Linked DNA regions of Caenorhabditis elegans. The protein of the gene in region 2 purifies or fractionates together with the protein of the main gene of each other region. This does not show direct contact. Each region holds a gene or a part of one and is shown on either strand. Other genes may lie near its edges.

Region 1 (3,754 bases), on a different chromosome or scaffold from region 2:
TGCAAACGACAAGTTCGTCATGTTGATCTTCACTCTCTACAATCAGGATCCGTTGGAATCAACTTGCCTGCGCTGGAGAATTCTGCAAAAGACTCGGAGAGACGGAGGTAAATATTTGATTTCTTTGATTTGTTCCAGTTAAAATGCTAATTTTTTCAGACAAAAAGCATTGAAAGAGTTGAACGATCGATTGAACAAGACTCGAACAGCAGAAGTTGCCAGCTACGGAAACTGGGACGATGGTGACGATGATGAGCCGACTGAGGTTACTGTAGTTGCTCCGCCCCCTGTATCAAATGTACATTCTTCAAAACCAGCCATGGACAAAGAATCAATGGCATAAATAGATTTTTGGGTTCCTTTTTTATTAACATTCATTAATTATGTATTTCTTGGATCTCTAGTTTCGACTACTCTCGTTTATGTTTTCTTTCGCTTCATTTTGCTTCCTTGTTCTTCATGGGTGTTTTTCATTTATTGCCTTCTTCCCTCTCTGTGAGTAATTTTTGCATTTATTGTATTTTTCTCTGTGATAGTTTTTTGTTTGATGAATAAAATATTAGATTTAAAAAACTGTTTTTATAGTGATAAAAATAACAAAACAAAACAAATCAACAAAGTTATAGATGAAAACAAAATATTCAAAAACCTATGCCATCAGACGTCCCTTCTTTGCAGCCTTCTTCTTTGCAATGGCTTTCTTCGCTGACTTCTTCAAGGCACGACGATCATTTTGCTCAGTTGTTCTGAAAAGAAAAACAAAATTATCCGGTGACCAACGGAGTGCTAGTTCAATTAAATTACACGCACACGGAGGGCCCACGCTCATATAGCACTACAAGTACCGCAGACGGTAAAGTTCCGAAAGCAGGTTGCAGTCGTGCAAGCAGTGGGGGTCGAACTCGTGGGCGCCGACCTCGAGTACAAACGCACACCCAACTGCGCTACGCTGAACGATTTAAATAGAGAAGAACCGGGCAATGACATTGCGCGCGCGGGCCCTTTGACAAAATGCCACATATTTACAAACCTTTCTTTTTTGGTGGAGAACTTGAACTTGTGCAATTTTCCAGTAATTTCATTCTGGTTCTTCTTTCCGTGAGATGTTCGCTTTTTAGCAGTTTGGATCTTCTGAAAAACAAATTATAAATTGAAGAACTATTCGAAGAAAAAAAACAAACCGTCAAATGTCCCTTCTTCATAACTTTTGTAATGCGCAAGTCGCGTTTTTCCATTTTGATAGTCTCCATGCTCAATGCAAGACTCACAGAAGAATCTTGTTTGAAATTGACAAACGCGAATCCTTTTCCCTTTCCAGTATCTTTATCTCTGACAATTCTGACAGCCTCGACAGGTCCGATTTGTGCAGAGAAAAAAGTAATGAGAGCATCTTCGGTAATCTCGAACGGCAAGTTTCCAACAAAAATGGCCATATCCTTTCCAAATTCTTTCTTCTTACTTCCAACTTTGTCAACACGAATCACATGATCGTCCAGCTTGGTTCCATTGTACTTCAGAGCTTTCTCCACTGATTCTTCTGCTCCGAATTTCACATAGAACGTGAGAGAACTCTGTTTGTCATTCAATTTTCCTGTCAAATGAGTGACTCGTTTCGTCAATTTCTCATTCGCAGGAAGCAGATTTCTCATACGGACAGAGGAAATAGTTCCAAAGTCGGAGAAAATTCGACGGACTGATTTCTCGTTCATTGTCAATGGCATATTTCCAACAAAAACAGTCAGAGCATTTTCAGCAGCTGAAGCACGTGCATTTGACTTTTGAAGAGTTCTATTCTCTCTTTGCTTCGTTCTGTCTCGCTTTCCTTCCTTATTTTCATCTTTTTTCTCTTCTCCTTCTGTTTCAGGTGCAACTTCTTCAGCAGCAGCAGCAGCATCAGCTGCCTTCTCTTCTTCAGCCTTTTTTTTTGGATCATACTTTCTTCTTTTAGGTTTTTCAATTACTTTATCTCCCTTCACAACTTCCTCTTGTACTGCTGCTCCTTCTGACGACTTTCCGAAGAGACTTGATAATCCACCAGCCTGATAATTATCAGGTTCAGAGACTGGAAGACTTGGTTTCTGCTTCTTGATTTTCTTCGGAGCTTCTGCAACGGCTTCTGCGTCAGCGGACACTGCTTCAGCTTTTCTTTTGACAACCTTCTTCGCCATCTGAAACTGATTTTTTAAACTATGAAAACTATAATTTTAATTGAATAGACATTGTAGACGGATCAGTCAACCTATACTTGATTTAAATAAAATATCATCATTAAAAAAAAGGAAAATAATTTATTGTTAGATCATCGAAAAACACGAAAAAATTGTTTTGAATTTTGAAATCAAAAAGATAAAAACATAGAGTATCAATAGTACGGCTGATCATCGAGTCGTTCCAATTTGAATGCGACTTGTAAGAAGAATTGCTTCGTGTCTTTGTTCCACATCGTCCAAAATTTTTCAGATTTGTCAACTTCTCTGGAAAAAATTACTTGGTATATACAATTTTTTTAATCGTAACTATGAGATAGAAAAGTGCTAAAATGTTGTAAAGCCTCACCTTGATGGAATTTTGAATCCAATCGTTTCATACGGCTCAGCAGCAAACAAGAGGTATTGCCATCTCTTGTCTGGAGGCTGAATCTTTTGCTCATAAGCAGACATAAATCGATGACGTGGCGCAATACCGTCAGCAATCTCCGGATAATCAATTTGGAAGAGAAGTGCTTGCTGGCCAGCTCCTGGATCACGTTCTTTTGTTACCTTGTATCCAGGACGTCCGATTTTCACAAACTTTTTAGTTTCAACTGCAGCTTTCTGTGGAGCTGGTAGAAATGGTTGTTCAGATTGTTCTTTAGCGGCACGCCGTGCAAGATTCGCTTGATGCTTCTTTCCTTGTGTATGTGCCAAATAAGATCCTTCATTGTTGTGAAGAGTAAGACACAGCTTGCATTCGTACGTTCCAATGTGATTTCGCATGAAATACGGATCCTTTTGAAGATCAATTGTCTCTAGAGCCAACTGGCGGAGCCGTTCCCGTCGATCAACACCAGCATCGGCGGCCGAAGCCACTCCTCCGCTTCCCGTTTTTCCTCCAGCTCTGTTCTGAAAGTCCATCTGAAAGAAAAAGTTTAGATGATTGAATATATTATAAATTTAAAATAAAATCGAAAATATATAAATATCCGAAGTTAAACGGATCATTAAAACAAAAATAGGTATTAGCATTAAACATCGAATGATTCACAATTTACTCATTTTCGAAAGACCAGGTTAAAGATAATGGAAAAGATTAATGAAATAATAGAAGGGCACGTGAATACACCCGAGAGGCAGGCAATGCTCACTCGAATAAATTGGAGGGGAATTAATTATGGTAGAGATTTAATTTGAATAAAAATGGACAAAGAAAAATAGGTGAGTATCACGGTAGCCGCACTTATTTTGAAAGTTTTCTTTCGCACAAAGGGGTTTTTGACAAGAGGAAAACTGGTGGAAATTATGATAAAACGGATTTCAGTTTGAAATTATAAAATCGATAAACGGAGGTAGATTGGAAGAGGAGGATGGGACATCATTTAGTGTCCATTGGCAAGATTTCCATTCGATTTGTTGAGGGTTCCATTAACAATTGTATTGTTCGAATCGTCAGCTGTTTGCCATTCACGTACAATTTGGGTAAGTTGGGCTGGTAGATTTTCGCGGTTCCATTCGTCCCTGAATAATATTTAATTGTTAAAAATAAATATTGTTTATTT
Region 2 (3,754 bases):
AAATCCAACTGAACTTATTGTAGACATAAGAGAAGTAACTAATTTCGATAGACACGCAACATGTTTATTGTTGGATGTGAATAGAATGAGTATGGCGGAGTATTTTATTAAACATGGTGTTTATGGAAGAAGGAATTATAAATTTATAAAATGAAGCAAGGTGTGTAGACAACTACGCAGCTTCTGAGTATCCTTGATTGTGTACGAGTTGATGAAATTAGAAGGCACGGAATCCACGACCACGAGAGTTGACAACCTGATCAGTGACGTATTGGACTGGACGATATTGAACTGGCTGAACCTGAAAAACCAATATATTGGTCACCACAGATTCCTAAGATTTATGTTTCATAATATTAATCCAATTGGTGGCTAGTATTGTAAAACTCAATCATAATCTTTAATTCAATTCTAGCAAATAAAAGTTTGAATACTCACTTGACGAACAACATTGTTTCTCTGAACAGGTGGTCTTGCATTCACATATCTGACGCTTCTCACAACTTGCTGTTGTTGTGGCTGCTGCTGTCTCTGGAAGCGCGGGGGTTGTTGCTGGAAACGAGGTTGCTGTTGCTGGAAGCGTTGTGGCTGGCGTTGGAAACGTTGCTGAGCCACTGGAGTCTGGATTACTCTTTGCACGACCTGCTCATACTGAAAACGAACAATATAATTCTGACACTGGATACTGAATAATAATGAATTTTTACCTGTGGTCTTTGAACTTGAGCGCGTCTTGGAACTTGTTGAACGACTTGACGACGAATGACTGTTGGACGATTATTATTGTTGTTGTTTGTTGGACGGAATCTTCTCGATTGCTGTGATTGAATAATCACATTGCGTCTCTGCTGTGGACGGTTCTGACGAACTTGTTGTTGCGGTGCTCTACGAATCACTTGAGATTGCACAGGAGCAGTGATGATTTGGCGAACAACTTTGACTGGAGCTTGACGAACATGCTGTACGATAGTACGAACAGGAGCCGTTATTGGTCTCTGTTGGATGATTGTTCTCACAGGTTGAATCACTTGGGCAGCAGTGACATTTCGTTTCAATGCAAAATTTCGTCTGGCGGCAAGAGTTGAAGCAGCAACACCCTGAAATCATTTACCTTACCTCCGTGAAAGATTGGAAGAACTCTCGACACGCTGAAGAAGCTGAGGAGAAGTTGCTGTCTGTCTCTCCGGAAGGAACTTCACACAAATTGAGACCATCTGTTCTGATTTTTTGGCAGAAGCCTGGCTTTCTATCAGGTTTTCAATAGTGGATGATCGTATTTCCAACTATTCATCGCGGTTTCAAAAAACACGAAGAACGTCTAGGTTCTATCGCGACACGAGAGGAATAAATCAAACTCTCGACCTGATTTTTAGCCTTTTACTACAACGCTTAATGCGTGTGGTATCCAGATTTCACTTCAAGAATCCATTTTTCAAAGCTCGATATTCAACTATAGAACAAAATCTGGTAAAAACGTACTCCACGCTTACGAACGACTGGAACAGTCGTGATATTGGTTCTTTTGCGAAGGGCATTCTGTAATGTGATGGTTTATTAGAATGAATTATATAAACAAGATTTACCTTGACGAGCTTATTAACCAGCTTCTTGGTGGCAACAGCGCTCAATCCTGCAGCCGCAGCAGGTTTTCCACGGGCACCGAAAACGCGTTTTTGACCTCCAGCTGCACGACGAGCAGCAATTGCTTTCGATTTCTTCAAAACCTTGTTCGCCAAAACAACTTGAGCACTCTTTCTTGGTGGGACTCTGCGGTTGTTTCTTCCGGCATTTCCTGGGCGAGTCTATAAAAATTATTTATTCTTAAAAGTTGCTTATTTTATTTTAAAACTCACGGGTTTGTTTCCAGCTTTGTTGCTAGTAGATGCTCCTGCTGGTGCAGATACTCGCTCGGACTTCACTTTTTTCTGGCCATGCTTGATGATTTCATCCAGAGACATGTTGATTTTTTCAGCCATTTCGATGAACGATATGAAGAATGCGGATAAAACTGAAAATAAACTGTTTTTAGAAAGAAAAGAACAGACAATGAAAAATATAAGACGATATGAGTGTAACAAGATGGTGAATAGAATGAACGAAAATGTGAGAGAGAGAGTGAGGGGGAAAGAGAGTGAGAGAAGAAGAGCAGATGGGAAAGTCGCGTGGCAGAGTACGAACGGCAATTGCGGTTGCGGAGCGGTTATCGATTGATGACTCACAGCGTAGAAGAGCAATTATAACAAAACCAAATTATTCAGTGTTTGGCCTATACGTTGAAAAAAACAAATTCCCGTTTTAAATGCTGTTTCTTTTTTGAAAATAATAAAACTGATGATCGGTGAGCAAACAGATATTACTGCATAGCAGCAGAACCGACCGGTCTGAGTGTGCACTAGACAGCTGTTAATGTTTGCACTGATGTAAAAAAAATTAAAAAAAAAATCGATTTCGGTGGGCAAGGTGGAACATTCAAGTGGGTTTCATAGTGAGCAACGAGAGAATACATAGTTCGTATTGGGGAATTTCATAAATTTAAGGAAAAAACGGATTTTAATTCAATAAATGTCTGAAAAACAGTATTTATAAATATATTTATTCAGCAAAGAAAATCGTTTTTAAAATATCGGTACTTGTTTTTAAATCACGAGACTTCTTGGACGCAAACACCAGAAACGACGGCACATTGCAGACAGTATGCTTGAAGATTTCCTCTACAGTATCCGAGTACTGTAGAGTATATCTTGGTGTCAATTCGCCCATAAAACTGCCAACACACAATACCAAAAGAGGCTAATGACAGAAATTATGAAAACAATGAAAACGTTTGTGAATAAGGATGTGCACTTCTCGACGATCTGTGCTTTTCTGGCAATTTCAGAGTATTTCTCCCGAGAGAAGGCTGCCAATGTGAACGATGATGGGAAAATGAAGCATAACAATAGTTTTATGTGTGCACGTATTTCTCGAATCCATCCCAGGCTGCCATGGACGGAACTCGTGAGCTGTAACAAAAATTATCAAGTAACATGAAATCTCGCTATAGTAAAAGTATTATGTTTCAGAACTGTGTATTTATGTTTTCGTAGAATTTTGACACTTATCAATATAGAATCAAGAATCTTACTTACAAGATGAGCACCCGAAGAAATATAAAATGTAGAAATCTAACCGTTAAATTGACATCCCATTCCATTTGATTAATGATATTCGTCTCATTTGTTCTAACTTTTGAATACTCTTTGATAACATCTTCCAATTCATCTTCCTCATATTGATCCATAATTTCCTGCAACACAAGGCAATCCTCAAATCCACAATTGACACCTTGACCATTGAATGGAACCATTGCATGTGCTGCATCGCCCATCAATACCAATTTGTCGAAGAAGACGTGCTGTGAGCATTGAACACTTATAATTGCCTGCGGTTTGTTTCTGGCAATTGTGTTTCTGATGTGATCTCTAGAATAATATTCGTTCGAAAACAACAAGGAAAAATGAAGCCACTCACTCTCCAAGAATCTTGAAGATTTCATAAAAATTGTTCTTAAAAAACAAAACAGATTCTACGGGACCAACCAAATTAGACTCGAACTCTGAGAACGTGGCGAACATCGAAACTGAAAATTTTGACTTTAGATAGATATAATTCCAATATAAGTCTTACCAGTCAATGACTGATCTTTATTTACAATGGCAACAAGGATAATACCTCTTCTTCTCCAGGAATAATGTGTTCCCAATTTTAGATCACA

Evidence for each region. The genes of interacting proteins can lie anywhere in the genome.
Region 1: the proteins of pqn-53 (region 2) and rbm-34 fractionate together in Caenorhabditis elegans (co-fractionation; one large-scale study listed by BioGRID). This does not show direct contact.

The regions. Positions count from the first base shown.
Region 1 is NC_003282.8:12,083,837-12,087,590, reverse strand, and holds rbm-34 (RRM domain-containing protein), read right to left. Parts: upstream 2,172-3,754; 5' UTR 2,169-2,171; coding exon 1,182-2,168; intron 1,132-1,181; coding exon 1,031-1,131; intron 883-1,030; exon of another isoform or gene 763-882; intron 747-762; coding exon 650-746; 3' UTR 568-649; downstream 1-567. Other genes in the region: F11A10.6 (Transmembrane protein 115), read left to right, coding at 1-107, 160-343; repo-1 (Splicing factor 3A subunit 2), read right to left, coding at 2,363-2,474, 2,557-3,113; lex-1 (Tat-binding homolog 7), read right to left, coding at 3,575-3,713.
Region 2 is NC_003283.11:12,063,384-12,067,137, forward strand, and holds pqn-53 (Prion-like-(Q/N-rich)-domain-bearing protein), read right to left. Parts: upstream 2,009-3,754; 5' UTR 1,977-2,008; coding exon 1,854-1,976; intron 1,803-1,853; coding exon 1,584-1,802; intron 1,537-1,583; coding exon 1,480-1,536; exon of another isoform or gene 1,098-1,479; coding exon 708-1,097; intron 652-707; coding exon 439-651; intron 302-438; coding exon 218-301; 3' UTR 49-217; downstream 1-48. Other genes in the region: kmo-2 (FAD-binding domain-containing protein), read right to left, coding at 2,748-3,002, 3,170-3,461, 3,511-3,619, 3,667-3,754.